Linked DNA regions of Struthio camelus. The protein of the gene in region 1 purifies or fractionates together with the protein of each later gene. This does not show direct contact. Links are inferred from orthologs where the notes say so. Each region holds a gene or a part of one and is shown on either strand. Other genes may lie near its edges.

Region 1 (11,268 bases):
CCCCCAAACTCCAGGGGACAGAGGGAACGATGCATCCCATCCCCGGGGGGCTGCCTCCAATTCCCCATGCCCTGTGGGGTCGGACCCTGAGCCTCCTAACCCATGGGATGTGTTCCCAAATCATGGGCTGCATCTTGCTGTCCCCATCCCCCTGTCTCTGTGGGGCACATCCCCATCCTGTGGGGCACGTACCCATCCCTCAGGCTGCATCCCCATTCTATATCCGCATCCCATGAGCCTTGTTCCCAACACGAGGTGGCCTGTCCCCATCCCATGGGCTACATGCCCACCCTGGGAGTCCTGTCCCCGCTCCATGTTCCCCCCCACGAGCCCCGTCCCCATGCCAGGTGACACGTCCCCATCCTAGGGGACGCATGGCCAGGCCAGGCCACATACCGTGGTCCTTGGGCAGGTAAGTGAAGCGGAAGGACTCGCTGCAGACACTGTCGGTGAGCCGCTGCAGGAAGACCTCCACCTCCACAGGCTCGGCCAGCTCCAGGTGCTGGTAGGGCGGCGTCTTGAACACGATGGCGACCTGGCGGTGCACATCAGCCTGCGAGAAGTCGGCCCGCGCTTCCCACGTCTCTTTGCGGAAAACCACCGCGATGTCCTCTGCAGAGGAAGAGGGGTCAGGGAGGCAACAGGAGCCCTTGCAGCACCCAAGGTCACCCTCTCCAGCCCCCAGCGGTTCCTACCCCCCTCCAGCACCCTGAGGTCCCATCCCCTGCACCTGCAAGGCAGCAGGACCCCCGGGCCCCTCGCCAGCACCCAGGATCCCTCCCCTATCATTAGCCGGGGTCCTCTCATCTACACTCCTGTAGCACCCCAGGGTCCTTTCCCCTGCAGGATGACTAGGGGGCAGCCAGACTCCCCCATGATCCCTCCCCTCCGACACCCAGGCTGTTCAGAAGCACTTGGGGGTGATCACAGCTCGCATCTCCAGACTCCTTTTGGACCCATCCCCAAACCCCTCAAGCGCACCAGCCCCCTCCAGCCTCTGTCACCTTCCTTCACCCCCACTCTCACTTCCTGGGGTGGTAGATTGGCGCCCCCAGGGTCACAAGGCTCCCAAAGCGCCCGCTGGTACCTTTCTGGACTTTGTCGCAAAGCAGGTAGAGCTCCTCGCCACCCGTGCACGGCCCGCTCTCCTTGTTCATCCGGCAGATCCTCAGCTCCGAGGTGTTGGTGGATTCTGGGGGCACCAGAGCACAGCTCAGGGGTGCTCAGGTGCCGTGCATGGACAGGGGTCCACAGCTGCCCTGCGGGGTCCTGTGGTGCAGCAACAGCAATGTGGCTCCAAAATCACCCAGCCCTGGGGCCAGGCTTGGGCAGCAAGACCAGGCTCAGGGTACAGGGACTCTCATTAGCATCATCTCTTCCCAAGCACCCCTAGCACTAGGTACCAACCCTGCAGAACACGGGTGACCAGATCCCCTGTGTGTGGGGGACCAGCTTCCCCTCAGGACACCACCAGTCACAGGGGACCATCTCCGACCAAACCTCGCAGCCCCGGCCCTGGCAAGGAACCGGCTGGTGCAATCTCATGGGCCACCCTGCCCCATGGCCACCCGCTGAAGCCAGGGAGGTACCAGGGGCCTGGCTGAGCCCCCCGCCAGTGACCCAAAGCCTCTCTTCCTCCACATACTCTTGTCAAAGATGGGCTCCGAGAGCACAGGGCTGAGGTGCTGCATCTGCCCAGCGCTGTCCTGGTAGGAGGCCTGGAAGCAGATCCTCACCACGTTCATGTCTACCTCCTGGTGGTTCTTGAGGGACCCAGCTGGGGCAGAGAAGAAGGCAAAAATCAGCTGCTGCCCAGGAGCGGGGGTCCCAGGCCCCCAAGAAATGCTTCTGCTCAAGCCACTCACCTTTGAAGGGGTCGATGCCCAGCTGCAGCTTCTTCTCTATCGCCATCTCGATCTCCTTTTTTTTCACACACTGGATACCAAGGTTGCTAAAGCTGCCGGGGGAGCAGAGGCGTGCTGGAGAGGCAGCTCCCCCCTGCAGAACCTGAGGGCACCCAGGCACCTTGCTCCTCTCAGCTTTGTCTCAGGGGGCTGGGCAGTTCCCCAGCGTGTCCGTTCCCAGAAGACAAGGCCCTGCACGGACCACCGTGGCTCCATCATCTCCAAAACAGGCATCGCTTGCACCCAGGGACGGCAGTTAAACGACCACCGAGGAACACATCGGTGCCTGGGCGCCCCCAAAGCCACGGGCAGACAACAGGGCACAGCTCGACCTCCAGTACGCTCCAACCTCCAGGCATCCCACCCCCCTGCTCCACCTCCGAGACCCCACGTCCCTCCTAGGGAATGCAGACAACTAGTCGTCACCAGCTTCAGCACAGCACCTCTGCGAATTGACGCCAGGGTCCTGGGGTGGGTGGGGGATATCTCTGCTCCCCGCACCAGCCTGGCACAGCTCCCTGCAGGCCACAGGACTCATCCCAGTGTCACAGCGCAGCCGTACCTGTGCTTGGGGTTGGTCTGGGGTTTGAGGACGACCTCGCAGAGCCCGTTGCTGCAGTCCTTGCCCACGAGGCCATGGGGGTGGACGCGGTAGGGCCAGTCCTTCCACACCAGGCATGCCGTCACCTTCACCTCAGGGATCGCGTGGCAGTTCAGCAGCTGGTGGGACACGAGCTGTGGGCGCTGCACCGGCTAAACCGACGCGGGGGGGGGGGGGGCACCAGGAATACGGGCATCCCAGCATCCGTGGGGCTCCGGCACCTTCTGCGATCTCAGCACCACCCCCAGCACCCATGGGGCTCCAGCTCCGTGATAATCACAAGGCTTCAGCACCCCTGCGGGGGGCTCTAGCACCCTCCCCAGCACCCAACTACCCCAGGGAGACATGAGCTGTCAGCACATCCCTGCTACTCTGACACAGGAGACCCTCTGAGCAGGGACGGGCACCCAGAGACATGGAGGGGCACTAAGCACCTAAGGGACTCCAGCAGCCCTCTGGCACCCATGGGGCTCTGAGTCCCTGGCAGCCATGGGGCAATAGCATCAGTGGAGCTTCAGCACCTCCCCAGCACCCACCTGGCTCTGGCACTGATGGGGATTCCACACCCCATGGCACCCACAGGGCTTCAACGCTCCCCCAGCACCCATGAGGCTCCAGACATCCCAGGACTCTGGCCCCCAGCACCCGTAGGACCTCACGGTCCCCACCTCCGAGCAAGCAGGGAGCCACGCGCCCCAGGCTGCCTCCGAAGCTCACCTCAATAGCCGGCAGGGTCTTACTGGCATCAGTGCTGCTCTCGCCCAGGATGCTGCCGGCCGAGCGGCCCTCGCACTCGTAGCGGAAACGCATGCCCCGCTGCTTGGGCTGCTCCGTGATCACCAGCTTGGGCGGCTCCAGCAGCTCCTCCAGCTGGTCCTTGCCCAGAGACCAGCGGTGCCGCCCGCCGGGGCCCGCCGTGCCCCGCGGCACCAGCTTGGGCGACAGCGAGAGGGTGCTGAGGTTCTGGGCGAGCTGCGGCGAACGCGTGTCGGCGGGCAGCAGCGGGGCCCCAGGGCCGTGCGGGGTCCCATAGGGTGCCAGCCCGGCCGTCGCCGGGCAGGGCTCAACGGGGCGCAGCGGCCGGGTGGCCACCGTCGGGCTGGAGCCACGGGCCACCAGCTTGGCCGAGCTTTTGGACAACAGCTTGGGCAAGGCGGGGGCCGGATCTGGCTGGAAACCGTCCTCCTTGATGAGCTCCTCAATGATCTCTGAGGGACGAGGAGGGAATAACGTGCCCGAGCCCGCCACAAATCCCTCAATACCCAGCCCCGACAACTCCCATCCGCCACATGATGGACGGACTGGCCAGATCCTGCCCCGTTGCCACCCACAAACATCTCCTCCGCCACGCTTGGGACAGAGCGGCCACAGCTAGGGGACAAGATGCCCCAACCCTCCTGCCCGTCGCATCCCCGTGGGTGTTACTCAGTCTTTTCCCCTCGATCCCCTCGATCCTTGACGCTCCGGGACGGCGGCCGCGGGGGCAGCTCGCTCGACCGGACACAGCTCTGCACCCTGAACTCCTGCTCGTGGTGCCCCGGAAAAGGATGGATCCAGCTGCTTCAGGTGCACGCAGGGACCCCCTTGTCGGAGATCTCCGGTTTTACCACCCGAAGCTCCGAGATGCTGCTCTGGCCGAGGTCCTGCCAACACACGGGGCTGCGCCTACCGACCCCCCTCCACGGTCCACTCACCTAAATCGTCTGCAAAAAGGAAGGGGAAAAAAAGAAAAAGAAAAAATTGAGGCTTCCTCCCGCACCCCCCTGCCCCAACTCGCACCCAAGGAGGCACGGCTCTCCCCCGCCAAGCCCGGACGCCTGGGCCCCGCCACCCCGAGCACCACAGGGAGGGGGAATGGGGGGGGTTCTTACCAGCCACAGGTGCGGCGTGCGCCATGGCCAAGCTGGGATCCTGGAGGGCAGCTCCTGCGGGGACACCGGCGCTGTCACCCCAGGGTGCACCCTCTCAGCCCCACCTAACGGCACAGGGGACCTCGGCCTCCTGCCAGCCAAGGGCAGGGACTTGGGGAGGGGCACCTCTGGGATCAGGACCCCCCCCCCCGACAGGACCAGGGGGGTCTCAAGGGTGACAGCTCCCCCCAGGGTGGGGAATGGGGGTACCCCCAAAAAAACCCCAGTGCAGGCATTGGGGGGGGTCCCCAGAACTGTGCCCCCCAGTAAGGATTTATTCCCCCCAAAACCTCCCATGACAGGGATTTGGGGTGGAAGGGATCCCAATATCGTGTCCCCCCCCCCAGCAAGGAGGGATCTGTTTCCCCCCCCCCAAGAGCAGGGATCAGGGGTTCCCCAGGACTGTGCCCCCCACTAAGTGCTCTGCCCTCCCCCTCAAATCTCCCAGGACATGGACTGGGGGGTCCCCAAGATCATGTCTCCCCTCCCATTATGGATCTGCCTCCCCCAAGCCCAGCAATCAGGAAGTCCCCAGGACTGTGCCCCTCCCCGAGCACTCTGCACCCCCCCAAATCTCCCACAACAGAGACTGGGGGGGGGGGAACGTCACCCCCCTCCAACAGGGATTTGCTCCCCCCAAAATCTCTCCAGACAGGAACTTCGGGGGGGGGGGGGAGGTCCCAGGATCACATCCTCCCCCAGCAAGCACCCGAATCCCCCCCCCCATCACAAGGACCGGGGGGGGGGGTCCCCAGAACCCTGCCCCCCCCGCCAAACCCCTAGTACAGGCACCGGGAGAAGGGGGGGGGCCGAGATCACACCCCACCCCACCGCCAGCAGGGACCTGCCTCCCCCCAAAACGGGGACCGGGGAGGGTCCCCCAGGACCGTACCCCCCCCCTCCTCCAACAAAAGGCAACCGACCCCCCCCCTCCCCCAACCCGGCCAGGCCCCGGGCCCGCCCCCAGCAGCGGGCCCTGCCCCCCGCGGCAGGCAGCGGGGGCCCCGCGCTCACCGAGCGGCAAGGCCATATCCCGCCGGTAGTGGTGGTGGTGCCGCCCCCGCCGCCGCCGCCGCCGCCGCCCCCCCGGCCGCCGCCGCCGTCGCCGCCGCCGCCGCCGCCGCAGGCCGAGGCCGCGCGGCCGCCGGAGCTGGAAATCCCCGCGCGGGCGGCGCCGCCATTGGCTGCCCCCGCTGAGGTCATCGCCGCGGGGCGGGCCGGGAAACCCCGCGCGGGCGGCGCCGCCATTGGCTGCGCCCGCTGAGGTCATCGCCGCGGGGCGGGCCGGGAAACCCCGCGCGGGCGGCGCCTCCACCGGCAGCGGAGCGGGTCGGGCCTGGCCACGGGGGCAGCGGGAGCCCTGCCCGGGCCTGGCAGCATATGGGGGCACCGGCCCAGGCCGCCGGGAGCCATCCCGGTTACCTCCCGGTTACCCCCGGGAGCTCCCCGGTCACCCCCCTGCAGACCCCTGCCCGGGCCCTCGGCAGCCTCCCGGTTACCTCCCGGTTACCCCTTCTAGGGCCCCCGGGAGCCTCCCGGTCACCCCCCTGCAGACCCCTGCCCGGGCCCCCCGGCAGCCTCTCGGTGACCGTCTGCGGGACCCCTACCGGGATCCCCTGGCAGCCTCCCGGCAGCCTCCCGGTTACCCCTTCTAGGGCCCCCGGGAGCCTCCCGGTCACCCCCCTGCAGACCCCTGCCCGGGCCCCCGGCAGCCTCCCGGTGACCGTCTGCGGGACCCCTACCGGGATCCCCCGGCAGCCTCCCGGGAACCTCTTCCAGCACCCTCCGAGTCACCGCCCCGAGAACCGTGCCGACTTCCCTTGGGAGCTTCCCGGTCCGGTCCGCTCACCTCCCCCCCCCCCCGCACGGGACCCCTGAGAAACTCCCGGTAACGTTACCGGCGCCCCGCCCCCAGCTCGTAGCCCCGCCCCCAGCTCGTAGCCCCGCCCCCAGCTCGTAGCCCCGCCCCGGCTCCGCCCGCCGTCACGTGACGCGGCGCCCCGCCAGCTCGCGCCCGCTCGTCCCCTCTCGCGAGAGCCGCGCGAGTAGCGGCGCAGCAAGATGGCGGCGCCGGAGACGGAGGCGGCGGCGGCGGCGGCGGCGGCGGGGCCCGGGCCGGGCCCGGAGCAGGTAGGGGCGGCCCCGGCCGGGTCGGGAGCGGCCCCGGGGGAAGCGGTGGGGCGCGTTTGACGGCCTCGTCCGCCCTCTTTGCTTCCCTTCAGCAGGTGACCAGTAACGGGAGCGCCGGTGGCGGCGGCGGCGAAGCGGCGGCGGCGGCCGAGACGCAGCGGCAGCAGCCGGCGCCCAACGCCTGGCAGGTCATCAAAGGCGTCTTGTTCCGGTGAGCCGCGGGTCCCCGCCCGCAGCCCTGGCACCACCGGCGCCCGGGCCTACCGGGGAGGGGGGGGGCAACAGGACTGGGCCCCCCCCCTCCCCCCGTCGTGCCCCGGGGGTCGGGAGCTGCCCCGCCGTGTCCTTCCCCCCGGGGTCAGCGGGCAACGGGGGTTGTGCCCGCCCCCCCCCCCCGTGGTGTGGCAGGGTGCTGGGGGTCGTGCCCTGTCCCCTCGTGTCCCCCCCCCCCCAGTGGTGTGGCAGGGTGCTGGGGGTCGTGCCCTGTCCCCTCGTGTCCCCCCCCCCCAGTGGTGTGGCAGGGTGCTGGGGGTCGTGCCCTGTCCCCTCGTGTCCCCCCCCCCCAGTGGTGTGGCAGGGTGCTGGGGGTCGTGCCCTGTCCCCTCGTGTCCCCCCCCCCCCAGTGGTGTGGCAGGGTGCTGGGGGTCGTGCCCTGTCCCCTCGTGTCCCCCCCCCCCAGTGGTGTGGCAGGGTGCTGGGGGTCGTGCCCTGTCCCCTCGTGTCCCCCCCCCCCAGTGGTGTGGCAGGGTGCTGGGGGTCGTGCCCTGTCCCCTCGTGTCCCCCCCCCCCAGTGGTGTGGCAGGGTGCTGGGGGTCGTGCCCTGTCCCCTCGTGTCCCCCCCCCCCCCCAGTGGTGTGGCAGGGTGCTGGGGGTCGTGCCCTGTCCCCTCGTGTTCCCCCCCAGTGGTGTGGCAGGGTGCTGGGGGTCGTGCCCTGTCCCCTCGTGACCCCCCCCCCCAGTGGTGTGGCAGGGTGCTGGGGGTCGTGCCCTGTCCCCTCGTGTCCCCCCCCCCCAGTGGTGTGGCAGGGTGCTGGGGGTCGTGCCCTGTCCCCTCGTGTCCCCCCCCCAGTGGTGTGGCAGGGTGCTGGGGGTCGTGCCCTGTCCCCTCGTGTCCCCCCCCCCCAGTGGTGTGGCAGGGTGCTGGGGGTCGTGCCCTGTCCCCTCGTGTCCCCCCCCCCCCAGTGGTGTGGCAGGGTGCTGGGGGTCGTGCCCTGTCCCCTCGTGTCCCCCCCCCCCCCAGTGGTGTGGCAGGGTGCTGGGGGTCGTGCCCTGTCCCCTCGTGTTCCCCCCCAGTGGTGTGGCAGGGTGCTGGGGGTCGTGCCCTGTCCCCTCGTGACCCCCCCCCCCCAGTGGTGTGGCAGGGTGCTGGGGGTCGTGCCCTGTCCCCTCGTGTCCCCCCCCCCCAGTGGTGTGGCAGGGTGCTGGGGGTCGTGCCCTGTCCCACTGTGTCCTTCCCCAGTGTGTGACGGGGCACTGGGGGTTGTGTCCCATCCCGCTGTGTCCCCTGCTCCGCTCTGCCGTTGGGTGCTGGGGTACTTCCTCATCCCGTCACGTCCTGTTGTACGTCTCTCTGGGGATCCCTGAAGGGGAAGGAGTGCATCTCCTCCTCCCTGATACCCCTAGGCTGTGGGGTCCCAGGAGAGGTGCTGCCACCCATCTCCAAAATCCCTCGGACAGCAGGGTTCCTGGTGCAGGGGCACAGCGACCTGGCCCGCTCACATCTGAGTGGACCCTGGGGTCCCTCGTAGATGAGAGGAAGGTACTGAGGATCCCTCAGGTTCCTGGGCTCATGTCAGAGAGGGAGAAAAGCCTGGTAGCTCCCCCCTCCTTTTCCCCGGACGCCAGGGTCCCTGGCAAGCTGCCTCTGATCCAAGCAGCCTTGGCAAGCCCCTGCCAGTGGGGCCTCATGACCGTGAGGGTGGCTCAGGTGTGACGTGTGACCGTCGCTGGCTGGCGAGAGCGCCCCGAGGTGCTGACGCAGGGCCCGTAACCCACGGGGCTACACGCCCGACCGGCGCAGGGCTTTGCCTGAACTCCGGGATCTTGAGCTACTTTGCAGCTTTTATAGCCTCGAGCTGTTCTTCTGTGGCTGAGATAAACGTAGAAGTTCAGAGATTGGTTCATCGCAGGCAGGAGCAGCTGCTTGAACAGGCTGAGTGTGCTTCCTGTTCTCCTCCGAGGAGGCGTCGGTGTCCTCTATGACTTGTCGAGAGGGATCCAAAGTCCAGGTTGTGGCGCAGAGCCCTTCAAATGCTCCTTTGGCTGAGCGGCGGCGCCGCCAAGCAGGCGAAAGGCCCTGCCGTCCATGTCCTAGGGGCGCTGCACTTCCCCGGGGGGTGCCGATGGTCTCGCCTGCTTCAGCTTGGTCTCTGGTGCAAAGCAGATTTCCTCAGGTGGGGAAAGAGGAGCCCGGGGTGTTTCTGGTTGTGGCCAGGTTTGTACAGCTGGAGCAGGCTGTTTTAAAACACCGCGTTGTATGCTCTTGCAGAGATCTTGGGCTGTAGGATGGCTAAGGAAAGTAAAGGAGCTGTGGTTTGGGAGTACTAAACAGGTAGTAGGGGGCAAAATGAAGCCCCAGGAGTAAAACCAGCTGTTAAAAATGCATCTGGATGGTCCCAGGGTGATGCAACAGTTCATGGGACTCATTGCCCTCACAGATTTCTAGCCTGAAGGCCCTAATGAACTTCTGCTTGGGAGAGTTTTCTGGGCTGAACTGAGCTCCCGCATGGGGCTGGAGTGGATGAGCTGCCTCGGACATGTTTGTGACTCAGTTCTCCAACACCTCGGATGCCTTTCTTCAACCCAAACTGCTGGATGGACTTTGGACTGCCTCAGGCAGGGCTTTTTTGACTGACCTCGCCTCCCTGGCAGACTGGCAGCTCCTCTTCAGGGCTCATCCGGAGCCTTGGTGAACCCGTGTGGACCCGTATGGAGAGAAAAGATCACTCAAGGATGGCAGGCTGCTGCTGAGCCACCGTAAAACCCTGCCAACCCTGTCAGCAATGCCCCAGGTAGCGCTGAGCTTTCCCACCTGACGCTGCGATGGCAGAACAGCCCACGCGTCTCGTGTGGGGTTTTGGGGCCCTCCTTTGGCCCTGTGAAGCTGCAACCCAGCCTTCCCTCCGGCTGCAGTTTGGCTTAGAGGCTGATCTCAGCAGCCCAAACCCAGCTGGCCCCATGGGGAGCGGTGGGATCTTGAGGGTGCTCGCAAGACTGTACCTCCATATTTGGCTGCACCGCTCTCTGCATCTCTCCAGTCCCGTGAAAACGAGGAACTCTGTGAGTGTAAGCAGGGACAGCCAGGGTTTGCCTTGTCCCATCTCTTCTCTCAGACTCGGGCACTGCAGGGATGCTTTTCCTAGGATGAAGGCAGATCAGGTGGCTCGGCTGCATCGCTGCCCTCACTGAAGGCTTCTCGGCAGTTCTTGCCATAGTGCCTGCCTCGTGATGCCTGCTGGGAGCCAGCGCTGCGTATTTGGACGCTTACAATCCAAATCTGTGTTCTTATCAGGAGGCAGAGTGGTTCTTCCCAGCCTTGTCCGCGTTGCGGTGAGGAATTCTGGATGCTGGAGCCGACAGACCTGCTGTGGACGTGCTCTTGGGTCTTGGACCTGCTACATCAGGGGCTGATGAAGGGGTTGAGAATCATGAAAGCTGTGACTCCTTTACACTTCCGCTCTTTCACGCGCAAAGTCTCCGTGCGTCCACCCTCGTTCAGTGCACTGCCTTCCCTTGTGCTTCTCTGAAGTGTCCTGAGAAGCTGCGCTTCTCCTGGGAGGGAAGTCGGTCTGTCTTTTTGTTTCTGTCTCACCGAGGGCAGATTTGTTCCTCTCCAAAGTGTCATTTCCCTTGGCGAATCCCTCTGAATGGCTAGAAGAGCTCTCCTGCACAGCAAGCGTGACCCTGTGGCCTGTCTGCTGGCCAGGAAAACCAGAGTCGCGTGGCCAGGAGAGAGCACTAAATCATCTCATCGCGTAGCGATCGCGGCGAACAAAGAGCTTTCGCAGCGGAGGCGCTTGAAGTCGTTCCCTGTGTTGTGGTTGAAGGGCAGAGAAGGGGCTAGGAGGCGCGAGGGAAAAAATCACGCTTGCTGGTAGGTGGAGAGCAGTCCCATCGCCTAACCCGGAGTGGGCTGCTCCGACGGGGAGTGGGTGATGTTTTGCTTTCAGTGTACGAACATCATGCCTCGTGTCTGCTCTGGTTTTTGAAACCCCTGTCTTTTGAAGAAGAAATAGGCTCCCAAACCTTCCCTGTACAACCAGTAATGCTCTAGGTTGTTCTAGAAGATAAACTCTCTATACAGTCATGTTGAGCTGGCTGCAGGCCTTGTTGTGACTGTTTGAGCGGGATACTTTGGCAGTCCCGCGTGGTACGTAGCCGGGAGGGAACAAGACAGTTAACTCTTTGGATCTATTAACCTGGGTGAGTTTGCAGGAGAGCCGGCAGTGTGGACTTGGTGCTGGGCTCTGTGCGTTTCCTCCAGGTCAGCGAGAAGTGTGCAGGGAGACTTGCTTGGTGCATCTTCTCGGCTCTGACAGCTCAGGGCTTTCTGTTTAAACCCTTGCGCTCAGACTTTCTCAAAAGCTCTGACCCAGCGCAACAAGACAGTTTTCACGAGTGAAATCCTGACTGAATTCAGCGCATCTCCAGTCTTCCACCTGAAAACTGGGCTTCCTCGTGGCATGGACATCTAGGAAAGTAACTCTAATGGATTGGAGCCCGT
Region 2 (10,972 bases), on another chromosome or scaffold:
GGCAGCCAGCAACAAGCCAGCATAGCTCAGCAGAGGGACTCCCAGCCCTACTAGAAACAAGGAGGTATGCTCTCTGCGCTGGACTTCTTTAATCCTTCCCCTAAAACTGTGTCCCTCCAGTCCTCTGCTCTTTTCTTTGACAGTAGTTTCTCTTCTCTGCTCTCACAAGTTGAGTCTTCCCCCAAGCCTGCAACCCCTGCTGCAAGCGTGCACGCTGGGATCCAGATGGTTCAGAGCATTCAGCAACACCTGTATTCAGCAGAGCAGCCCCTGAGCAAGCAGGAACACAGGAGCAGACAGTCTGAATGGGGCTCTGATCTCTAGAGCAGGGCCACACGAGATGGGACAGTTAAGGCTGGCACATGCTGGTCAGTTGTTAAAAGGGGCTCTTGGCCCTACAAGATGAGGCTTGATACTTGATAGCTGCCCAAGTAGGCAAGGGCTCAGTGGGAAAGATCCCCTTCACTACCACAGCTGCCACGTACCATCACTTGGAGGAAAGCCCAGAACACCAGCTCTTGCGGGGACCCAAATTTACTTAATTAACTCTCCCCGAACCCTTGTTAATGCATTTCAGCACACAAGTCACCAGCACGTGATTTCTTATCAGCAGACACGGCAGCACTTGTCTCTAGTGGAAGGAGGAAGTCAGGCTTCCTCTGCCACCCTCCTTCTCTGAGACACTACCCACCCCCTACACACACGCGCCTGACCAAAACTGCTCTGTCCCATTTTCCATCTGAAGGACGATGAGATCTTTCTTCTCTGATTTGAGCTGGGGACCCCTGACCTTCACCTCCACAGAGAAGCCATGCTGCTTTGCCTAGAGAGCTCCGTGCAGAAAACCACCACCCTTTTGCAGAGGCATAGCACCAAGCCTTGCGCAGCACATCGCGGCCGACTGGCTCAGAGCAAGACTATGTGTGCTGACATGCCTTGTCTACACCGTGCCTAGCTGCCCGCTGCCGGGGAGCCCATCACCGTGGCATCAGGTACTGATGACAAACTGGCGCGTGGCCCAAGGACCAAGACGGCAAGAAAGGGAAACATGTTTAAGACAGAACATATAGTTCTAGAGAGAGGAAGCTCAACCTAATTTCCCACACTGATAAATCAGCTCTGTCTCTCTAGAGCTGCCAGAGGCTGCCAGAAGCCCTAGCAAACGGAGAGGTTTTCCCTAGTGTTGGAATGCAACGGACAATGCTGTCACATCCCATCCCGCCCTGCAGGAGCTGGTCCCACACCCACCCCTTTCCCAGGACACCGCAGCTCTCGTGCCTGGCGAGGCCAGCAACAAGGGGGTTTCCTCGGTGACTCCTAACAAAGGTTGAGTTTGTTTGGAGGCCAGGGCACAACCATAACAAACTGCAGCCTGCCCAGAGTTAGCCATTCCTGCAGCTGGAAAGCCCCTCTCTTCACTTCCATGCAAAGCAATCCCATTGGGATTCAATTCAGCAGAAAAGGAGCTGCTTCAAAAGGAAGAGATGGATGCTTGGAGGAGAGAGCTTGAGCTTGAGGGCAAGGGAGCAGCCTTCTGGCAGGGCTTGCTCTCTACCCTGCCATGGAATAACCAGGGTATTGCTGCCCTAAGTGCATCCGCCATCCTCTGCCTGTCGCTTCGGGTTTCCTCCCATTCCTTGACCTCTCCTGCTATTGCAGCTCTGCTGATCCTGCTCCAAGGCTGATGTGCCATTGCCCAATTACTACAGCTCTGACTTCCTCAAGGCAGGGACTACCAGTTGCGCAGGGAAAGGGTGGTTGGGTTTGAGGTTTTAGCAAATGATTATTGGAAGACGTCTGCTCAGACAGAGGTACCCACACATTTCACTGGCCATTACACCCACGTCTCCTGTGTTAGCTAATTTCCTTCCTACATAACCAGGCCCCTCTAATTTTGAAGGAGGGGACAGTCTGTTTTAGCCCCATTGCTTCACCCTGCCTCGATGAATGTACTTCTGCGGAGGTGGCAGGAAGTAATCCAAGGAAGATCCTGCTGAGACTTTAACTATCTGAGCACTTGCTTCTCCCCTCTGCAGTCACCCTGTATACTTCTGCCATACGGGCCACACTGAGAAACACACCTCAAGGGGGCGCAGGTAGGCAAGCCTGGGGAAGCTGTGCAGGTTGGAAGGGTAGGGCAGACGGGCAGCCAATACTTTCATCCGCTCCTTTTGTGCGAGTGTTGCTCCTCCGGGTACCAGCAGGGACAGCTGGGGAAACAGGAACTATTTGACTAAAGCCCTGAACTTTTTGTATTTTCAGAATTACAATGATTACAAGGAAGTGTTATCGCCCAAGTCTGCTGAAAAAATAATGATACTATGATTCTAAGTCTTGTCTTGGATCTGTCTTGTGGCAGATGTTCAAGCAAGATACACAAGATAAAGCGCAGCTGACCAAGATGAAAAGAAGTTGTCAGGTCCGCCTTGCTAGATGAAAAGGAAGCGGCCTATGGCCATCTGATCCCTTTTCTCTGGACCCCCAATCACTTGATGAGTGATTTTTCCTCAGACTTTAGCATTGCTATTAACCACAGTCTGTTTTTGCATAGAAAAGTAGTGGCAGTTCAGGGAGATGTTGGACGCTCACAGTCCTACTTGCATCGAGTGGAGCGGCAGACATTCAGCATTTCTAAATATAAATGCCACCTACCTCTCCCACAGGGTCAGGAGACAAGTCAGGAATAGAAGAGGCAGAAGTCCACAACCTCACCACTCTGACCACAAGAATATGTTCTTTTCCCAGCACTGGGAGCAGATCTCAGGAAAGCAGACTCCCTGCACTGACCTCCCTAGCCCCAAGTTGTACAAAATGCACTAAGAGCAGACTTTTCACTCCCTCCTTCGCTCTTTACCGATTTCCTGTTCTAAACTGTGCTGGGCATGAAAGAAAACAGAAGAGCAACTGCAACCACTTGGAAAGCTCTCTGAAAGCCTCTCCTGCCTAGAGTAACTAAGGCAGCGCCAATTAATGTTTCCCTAGTTAATTAGACGCTTGCGTGATGTTCTGGCCAAGCAAGTCTGACAAGCAATGGGTTCAGCCACCTTGCGAGACAGACTCAAACAGGAAAAGCATCTCCAGACAGCTGCATCTACTGGGCTCACTAGAGACTGGTGAGCCTTGGCACAGCACAACATAACGGGACCGAGGGGGCTTTCCTGCAGCATTACTTCCACCGGTCTGATTAAGACCTGTGGTTCTCTCTGTGGGCACATTGGCTCTGGAGTTACAGCTGTGTAAGCTGGCGAATTTTCCCACGCGGAGGAGCTGCAAAGCCAGCAGATAGATAGGACAGCAGTAGGAAGCTATCCAAGCGCCCCACCGGGGAGCGTGGGAAGCTGCGTTTAGTCTAACTTTGCTTGCTGTGAGGCTTCCAACCAATCTTCCGAGCGGATCCCACAGTGAACATTAATGAACTAATTAGCAGATGTACAGGTTCCTCGCTAACCAGGAAGTAAACACTTGGGCTTGCTCCCATCTCATCTTCAGCCTCAGAGACAAATGTGCTCTGAGGTGAGGACAGAGTCTCCTCGCAGCTCCTGTTTAAGCCTACTGCGTGGACACTACTAATTCATCTGTCTTGCTGGTGTTAGTGCCTCTTAGTTTCTCTTCCTCTTGCACCATTACTCAGTATTCAACTCTGGCCTGGGTTTGGGTCAAAGCTTTGCGTTTCTCAGCTGCAAGCGCGCTTCACTCATACTCTGCCCTCATTTATGATGAAAATCTTCCGTTGAGGGAACATACAACAGGAAAGAGACATGATTAGCTGAATGCAGTTACCAGAAGCCAACCCAGATACCTCCAATATGATGTCTCTGCCCTCAAGAGGGCATTACGAACGTGGGAAGCCCCCCTCATCAACAGAAACAGGTTCTCTCCATCACAGAGACTCAGAAGGGCTTCCCCTCGGCAGAGCGTGGGCCACAAATTTGCAGAGAGCTGTCCCTCAGCTGGTGGGTAGGCAAAGCAAGATGATTTTGACCAGAGAACAAGTAGTTCACAGGTTGCTCAGCTGAGCAGCATCTGTGGGAGGCCCACCAGGTCTTGCCCTGCATAGCTGATCTTGTTTTGGGTCTTGCTCACATGCCGTCTCATACAGAGAAGCCAGGTCCATTGGTGATGAAGTTTTGCATCCTCCAGGGAAGGGGGGGCAGGGTGATTTGCTCTCACACCACCATCCAGCTGCTAGTGGCCCCATAGCAAGTGGAAATTGGTTTCCTGCAGTGGGTCCATTCTGTGCCATGCTCAGAGGAGCAGGGTTGCCTATCCCTGCTTGCCCTGCCAGACCTGCCTTGGATCACTTGTTGGTTACCCACCCAAATCTACGTCATGGAGCCAAGCATCTGTGCGTGAGCTGCAACTGGAGGCTCTAGGACAGGGGATCAGGGAGTCTTCCACAAACTGACCGGCTGGCTGTTCCTCGGGAGAAACTAGCGGCTGGGGGCCACTACAGATAAAGACCTCCTTATCTCTGCGGCACCGGCTCCCAGCTAGCAGCCGAGGGGGCCAAGCCCGGGCTGGCGGGGGATGGAGGGGCAGGAGAGCAGCGGTGCAGAGGCACCTGCGGGGGCAGAGCGCGGCTCCCCGCGGCAGGGAGGGCAGGGCAGGGTGCCCGGGGCTCACTCACGTGTCTCCGTCCTCCGAAATGTAGGTGAGCGCCTCCAGCTGCTGCTGGCTGAGCCCCTCCGGCGACGGCGACGGCGGCTCCGGCTCGGCGTGGCAGACGGCCGGCAGCCCGGGCAGCGGCTCGGGGAGGGCGCCGGAGCCGTAGCTGGAGTCCAGGCGCTCCTCGGTGGCGGCGGCCGGGGTCTCGGCGGCGGCGGCCGGGGTCTCGGCGGCGGCCGGGGTCTCGGCGGCGCCAGCGCCCTCCCGCCCGCCCGGCAGCGAGCGCAGCGACTCGATGCCCGAGTCGCACTGCCCCTCCTCGCCCTCCCAGCCCGCCGCCTCCTTGCGGCACTCGCCGCCCGCTGCCCGCGACATCCCGCAGCGCTTCAGCACCCGCCGCCGCCCCCCAGCCCTAGCCCTAGCCCTAGCCCCAGCCCCGGCGCCGGGGGGCTCATGGCCGGAAAGCCGGCGGGCCGCGGCCGGCGCAGAGGCTAAGGCGCCGCGGCTCCTCCTCCTCCTGCCCGCACTGACTCAGCCGCGCCCGGCCCCGCCTGCCCGGGATTCCCCCCGCCGCCGGGCAGCGGCTCCGCGCCCGGCCTCGCGCCGCCTCCCCGCAGCGCGGCCCCGCGCCCGGCCTCGCGCCGCCTCCCCGCAGCGCGGCCCCGCGCCCGGCCTCGCGCCGCCTCCCCGCAGCGCGGCCCCGGCCCCGGCCCCGGCCCTGGCCTCGCGGCTCGCCCCTGGCCCGCCCGCGGGGCCCGACGCCGGGCTTTGGCACCGCGCGTGGATACAACACCCCGGGTCGCCCGCCCTGCTCCCACGAGCCGTCCCCTGAACGGAGGGCTGTTTTCCTGCGTTCCCCGAGGGGTTCAGGAGCGAGGGAGGAAGCAAAGCCACAGGTGGGCACGCGTGTGCGTGCAAGGGCCAGGCAGCCTGGGGTGCGCAGGGGACGTTGCGTACACAGGACAGCATGTGCTGATGTGTCCTGGACCTGCCTCCTCCCTTGGTGTATTTGTTTTGGTTCTTTAAATAACTGGCAGGTTTGCCCGAGGTGGGAGAGGGACCTTGTCGAACCAGGTTGTGTGGGTGAGGATGCTGTTACATGCACAAGTGCTGACTACAGCCTCAGGCTTTGTGGGAAACGATATGGTAGATGTCACTTACTGGTAGTGGAGATAGGTGTGAACGAGAGGTATGCTTTTCCCATGTGCATGGTTTAACTCATCTCACCCACTGAGACACCGTCTTGCCTATTCTGCCTGTACAGGTGAAGGGAAAAGCCAGGATACAAGTCACTCTGTCCTGAGCTGCTTCACACCATACTTCTGCGTTACTAATAGCAAGCCTAAAGCACAGAGTGGGTGCAAGGGCTCACACAAGGCATCCAGTACATGAAGATCAAAGCAGAATATAAAAGCTAAAAACAAAGGCACAGATCTTTGCCTGAGAACTATTGAGCCAGCTGCATTTCAGTGCTCTGCTTCCCAAGATCAAAGCTACCCAGCTTATGGACCTGCGTAGCCTTTATCTAGCTACTTTCTAACGTCCCAAGAAATGAGTTTTCCTCAGAAAAGAATCTAGATAGCTCTGAATGCTGATGTGACTTCTTTAAAATCAGTTTCACTTGTTACTTCTGCTGCTTGAAGTTCACCTCCCTCTCTGCAAGGTGGCCAGCTTTCCTGTAGGAGAGGAAGGATCTGTCCGTGCCACACACCTGCAGAGGAGCTCACCTGGGAAGAGCTTGGTGGTGGATGCAGGGACAAAGCTCACACAAACCACATGCAAAGCACAAATGACTTCCCCCTCCTATGTTGCAGCTGCCACTTCAGGTTTGCGTCACTCTCCTAGCACTGCCCAGCCAGGCCTTAAACCACAGCCTTGCTGCATGCAAGCTAATCAAGAAAAGCACCTCCACACAGGCAGAAGGAGATGTTTGGGGGCATAAGGGCAGAGGGAGCACAGCCGGAGGCAGGCAGAGGAAGTCTCTGTGGGCATCAGTAACTTCCAGTCACACGTTTTCCTACTCTCAGGACCTGCTTCAATTTCTCCTTGTGTTTCTGGCACTGCCTGGATGGAGGACTGCACGCGCTATGGGAAAGGAGGTTCTCCCTGTGCCTCATCCCCTCTGTTCAATGCAGAGCAATTATCCCCGTTATATAGCCATGCATACCCTCACTCCTTGGCAGCGGCTGCCTCCCGGCTTAGGGTGCAGGATGCATCTGCAGCTGACGTTCCTGATCCCCTTGCATGCAAGGCTGATAACCTGTAGGGCCCAACACTGGGCAGAATCTTACTGGGACTGTCTTGGATCTTGGGTGTTCACTAATTGTTACCATCACAGTTGATCCCAATTGCAGCACAGAAACTGTGGAGTTAGACAGTCATCTCAGTGTCTGTAAGCCGTATGCCAAACCTTTACTTCTGCTCCAGTGCAGGCTGCTATCAGATCCACAGAGTAAAGCCCAAAGGTTACCCCTTTCTTCCTACTCACCCAGAATTTCTACTTCCAGCTTTATGAACCCAGCTGCTATTGGAGTACCATAAAATACCTTCCCACGTACCTCTGCCATTTTCTCTAGTACCCTATTGAAGCCCCATCACAGACTGATTTCTTAAAGTCTTTTGCAAGGATGAAATCAGGTATTTGGTGAAATCCACATTGGTGAGATCAGTACTTTCCAAATGTCCTGCAGAGTGGTGACTGCTGCTACAGAACAGGAATGTGATCTCCCCAATGGACAGGTATCCTCCCTTTATATACCAAAGCATCCCTGCCTTGCCCTATCAGTAACCAGGAACCTGTGTACTGATCCACAAAGGATTCATTTTTCTGTGAACTACTTGCTGCTTGGCTTTGCCCCAGTGACAGTCGCCCCTCAGTTATCTCGTGATGCCCTGTCCCAGTTGTGGCATAGGTGTGGAGACTGCTTCCACTGCTTCCACTGCTTTAGGGCTACCAAGATGATTAGAGGGCTGGAGCATCTCTCCTATGAAGAAAGACTGCAAGAGCTGGGCCTGTTCAGCCTGGAGAAGAGAAGATTGAGAGGGGATCTCATCAACGTGTACAAGTATCTGAAGGGGGAGTGTCAAGAGGATGAGGCCAGCCTCTTCTCCGTGGTGCCCAGCAACAGGACAAGAGGCAATGGGCAGAAACTGAACCACAGGAAGTTCCATCTGAATCTGAGAAAAAACTTCTTCACTGTGAGGGTGACAGAGCATTGGAACAGGTTGCCCAGAGAGGTGGTGGAGTCTCCTTCGCTGGAGATATTCAAAAGCCGTCTGGACGTGATCCTGGGCAATATGCTCTAGGTGACCCTGCTTGAGCAGGGAGGTTGGACTAGATGATCTCCAGAGGTCCCTTCCAACCTAAACGATTCTGTGATTCTGTGATTCCAGGGCTAGCACAGGTTGAGGGGCAATTCAGCCAAAGCACAGAGCCTGAGCTAATAAGCCCTGGAGAGCTGAGCCAGCTCTGCGGAGATGCAGCTCAAGGCCCTTGACCCTGGGGTCCTCGTACAAAAAAACTGCTATGTTTCCTGTGCAGTTAAGATAGATCCATCATATGTTCATTCACGTGGACTTGGTACACCTCCTGCCAGTTGCAGGCTGGCTTTATGAAGCATCACTCCGTCACCTTCCCATGCTACAGGTTCTGGCAGGGCTTCTCAGCCTCAGCACAGTGCAAGGGAAATGTACGCAGTCAGCTCATCTCACCTGGGAAGTGGAAACGCTGGAAGCTGCGGTATGCAGACACCACTTGTGACTCCACAGTCCAGTCCACAGCAAACTGTACTACGTTATCTGTCTACAAAACTGCCCCTGAAAGTGACCTTCCTCTGCTGCTGATGTGAACTTAGCTGGAGCTAGTGATGTCACGGCCTCCCTAACGTGAGCCTTGAACTTTCTAGAGCAGGCTAGTGCTCTCCCAGGCCTGTCTTGCAGTGGTCTACTGTGGTGGTGTGTGCTGAACAGCAGAGACCAGATATTTCCCTATAAAAGCCAGCTATACAACCCAGGCATCCAGGTCCAACCACTCTGTGCTCTGGCCTTCTCACTACCTCCACTAATACCCAGCTCAGTCACCAGCTTCTTGCCACCTCTCTTCCAGGTGCATGTGCTTCTGCTGTCCCTTTGGATAATTTGCATGGAAAATCTCAGACATGAACTTTGCTTGTCAGTCTATCTCCTTATTTGCCTTCTGTCTTTCATTCAGCAAGGCTTCGGCTCCATTTCATGATCTCTGCCTAACAGAGAAGTTTTCTGTCTAGCCACACTGCTTTTGAATTTCCAGTCTCTTCACGGCTTTCAATCCAGACTGTGGTATATACTTTCTGGGGAGGTGGTGGTGGCAGGAGTAAGCACATTTAAATACAATATGTGGCTAGTCTTCATGCTCTGATTTGCTTTTGAGGATTTAAAAAATGAAGCCCTAATTCTACCCTCTCTCCAGTTCTCTTTAAAATGTATCACTTAGAATGGTTAAAATTGCAGGGATAAATAGAGAAAGGAATCTATTCCCACTAGAGGTCAGCGTCAACACACGCCACTCAAAACTACCTGCCTAAAATAACCTCTCCAACAGACACCAACAAGAAATCCAGCTCAGAAAGGCGCTCCCACCACACTGCACTTCCAGGAGCTTGGGGACAGTGTTTGTCCGTGGAAAGGACTCCCCAGGTGATCTGCAAATGCCGGTACTGTCCCTGATAATGTGCTGCCCTGAAGTACGGCCCTTTAATTTCCTAAGCGAAACTCAGATCTCTGCACTTGACTTCTTGAACCCAAGCTCTGCCTACTTCAATGGCAGCTTGAGCCTGGTGCCTTCCTCTTTTCCACTGTTCCTCAAGCTGTTAACTGGGTGAGATAATGAGATGAGTCTGGGACACTTGCAGAAGGGGAGATTATGCACAGTCTGTGTCTGGTCTGAGGAACAGCAGAGGTACCTTAACTCCCAGCTGTGTTCCCCCACCATGTTTAAGCAGTGTCTGTACCTGAAATCATTATAAACAGTTATTGCAATAGTAATTCAGGTGATATGACCAGAGTTAGATGGTATGTATTTGAATTTGAACAGATGGAACATTTGGGATCGTTGCAGGGTTCGATCAGGGGTTACTTCAGTAACCATCAGTATTTTAATAACCATAAAACAAACTCACAGCATCTACACTACAAATGTCACCACCAACAGTGCAGCTCTCTGGAGTCCAGCAGGCCCCCCCCTCCCCCCAGGGATGACAAGGCAAGTTCAAACTGTTTTTTGGCTGGTTCTGGCTGTTTTCTCATTCATCATTGAGGTTAGGCTAAGATCATCTTATATGATCAACTATTAATCTAAGATTCAGGTGCTCTTTCCTATGACACTTTAACAACTTCTTTTTGGCCCTCCACAGCTCTATCCTGATGTTAGGGAAGATTCTTCAACGTGAGACATTTTGGCCTTTGTGAATGAGGGATCAGTCTGCTTCCACTTCTTTTTACGTCTCACTTCCTCACAGGATTGGCCCAGGACTGCGTGGTTTACTGAATAAGGCAGGGCTCCAAATGCTGTCTCCTTGGGGTACCAGAAAAGCACTGTGACAGCTGCTGAGCCTCTTTCAGAGCGCAAAACTTGCTTGACCTAACTGCAGCGATGCTACTGCTGCCTCTGTTACCTCAGCACCCATGTGGATTTTCCCCCATGCAAAATGTCCACCACACAGCTTTAGACCTACTCCACAACAGGGCTGCCCTGTTCCCTAGGGATGCAGCCCTGTCTCCCCTGTCTCCATCAGCAGGGTTCCTGAGTCCATCAGGAAGATGCCAGGGCTCAGTCCGGGGAAGCTCCAACCAAGCTTTCAACACCAGGGATGTCTTTGGGTACCGCAAGCAGCAACCTAGACCTCTACCTCAATTCCAGCTCCAGCTCAGCCCCTGAACAAACTACATGTGCCACTCCACTACTTGGAGTAGAGGCCCCAAGAGCACAAGGAAAGCCACAGGAAAAATGACAGGGTTTCTCGTTGGCTTGCTCTTCTGCATATCTCATAGCAAATCAACTCTGAGCTATACTATGCTGGGTATATACTGGTCTAACTTTCTGGTCTAACAGAGTAAAATAGGAACATGTTTATCGAAAGATTCAATGCCTGGAGGCAAGGCCAAGTTTTCTAACAAACCAGGGTAAATGGGGTTCCCTTCAGGTACCAATATTTTTGGAAATGAGCCCAGCTGCCCTCTTGTGGTAACTTTGACTGAAATCGCAGAGTTACTTTCAGTCTCTCCAAGGATGCCTGTCTGGGCACCTGTTCCAGTGCTTGACCATTTGTACAATGAAGAATTTTTCCAGTCAGAGATTTGATTTTTGTTGGTTGCCTCTTGTCCTTTCACT

Evidence for each region.
Region 2: the proteins of RELB (region 1) and NFKBIE purify together in Homo sapiens (affinity purification with mass spectrometry; 3 studies listed by BioGRID and IntAct, counting the BioPlex papers as one, with this or other methods). This does not show direct contact. The link is inferred for Struthio camelus from reciprocal best matches to the Homo sapiens genes RELB and NFKBIE.

The regions. Positions count from the first base shown.
Region 1 is NC_090957.1:1,341,010-1,352,277, forward strand, and holds the start of RELB (transcription factor RelB), read right to left. Parts: upstream 5,521-11,268; 5' UTR 5,446-5,520; coding exon 5,430-5,445; intron 4,431-5,429; coding exon 4,377-4,430; intron 4,209-4,376; coding exon 4,200-4,208; intron 3,714-4,199; coding exon 3,223-3,713; intron 2,625-3,222; coding exon 2,467-2,624; intron 1,958-2,466; coding exon 1,866-1,957; intron 1,778-1,865; coding exon 1,646-1,777; intron 1,193-1,645; coding exon 1,088-1,192; intron 613-1,087; coding exon 397-612; intron 1-396. Other genes in the region: putative lipid scramblase CLPTM1, read left to right, coding at 6,477-6,545, 6,638-6,756.
Region 2 is NC_090944.1:104,510,182-104,521,153, forward strand, and holds the start of NFKBIE (NF-kappa-B inhibitor epsilon), read right to left. Parts: upstream 5,106-10,972; 5' UTR 4,981-5,105; coding exon 4,628-4,980; intron 1-4,627. UniProt on the Homo sapiens protein: Sequesters NF-kappa-B transcription factor complexes in the cytoplasm, thereby inhibiting their activity. Sequestered complexes include NFKB1-RELA (p50-p65) and NFKB1-REL (p50-c-Rel) complexes.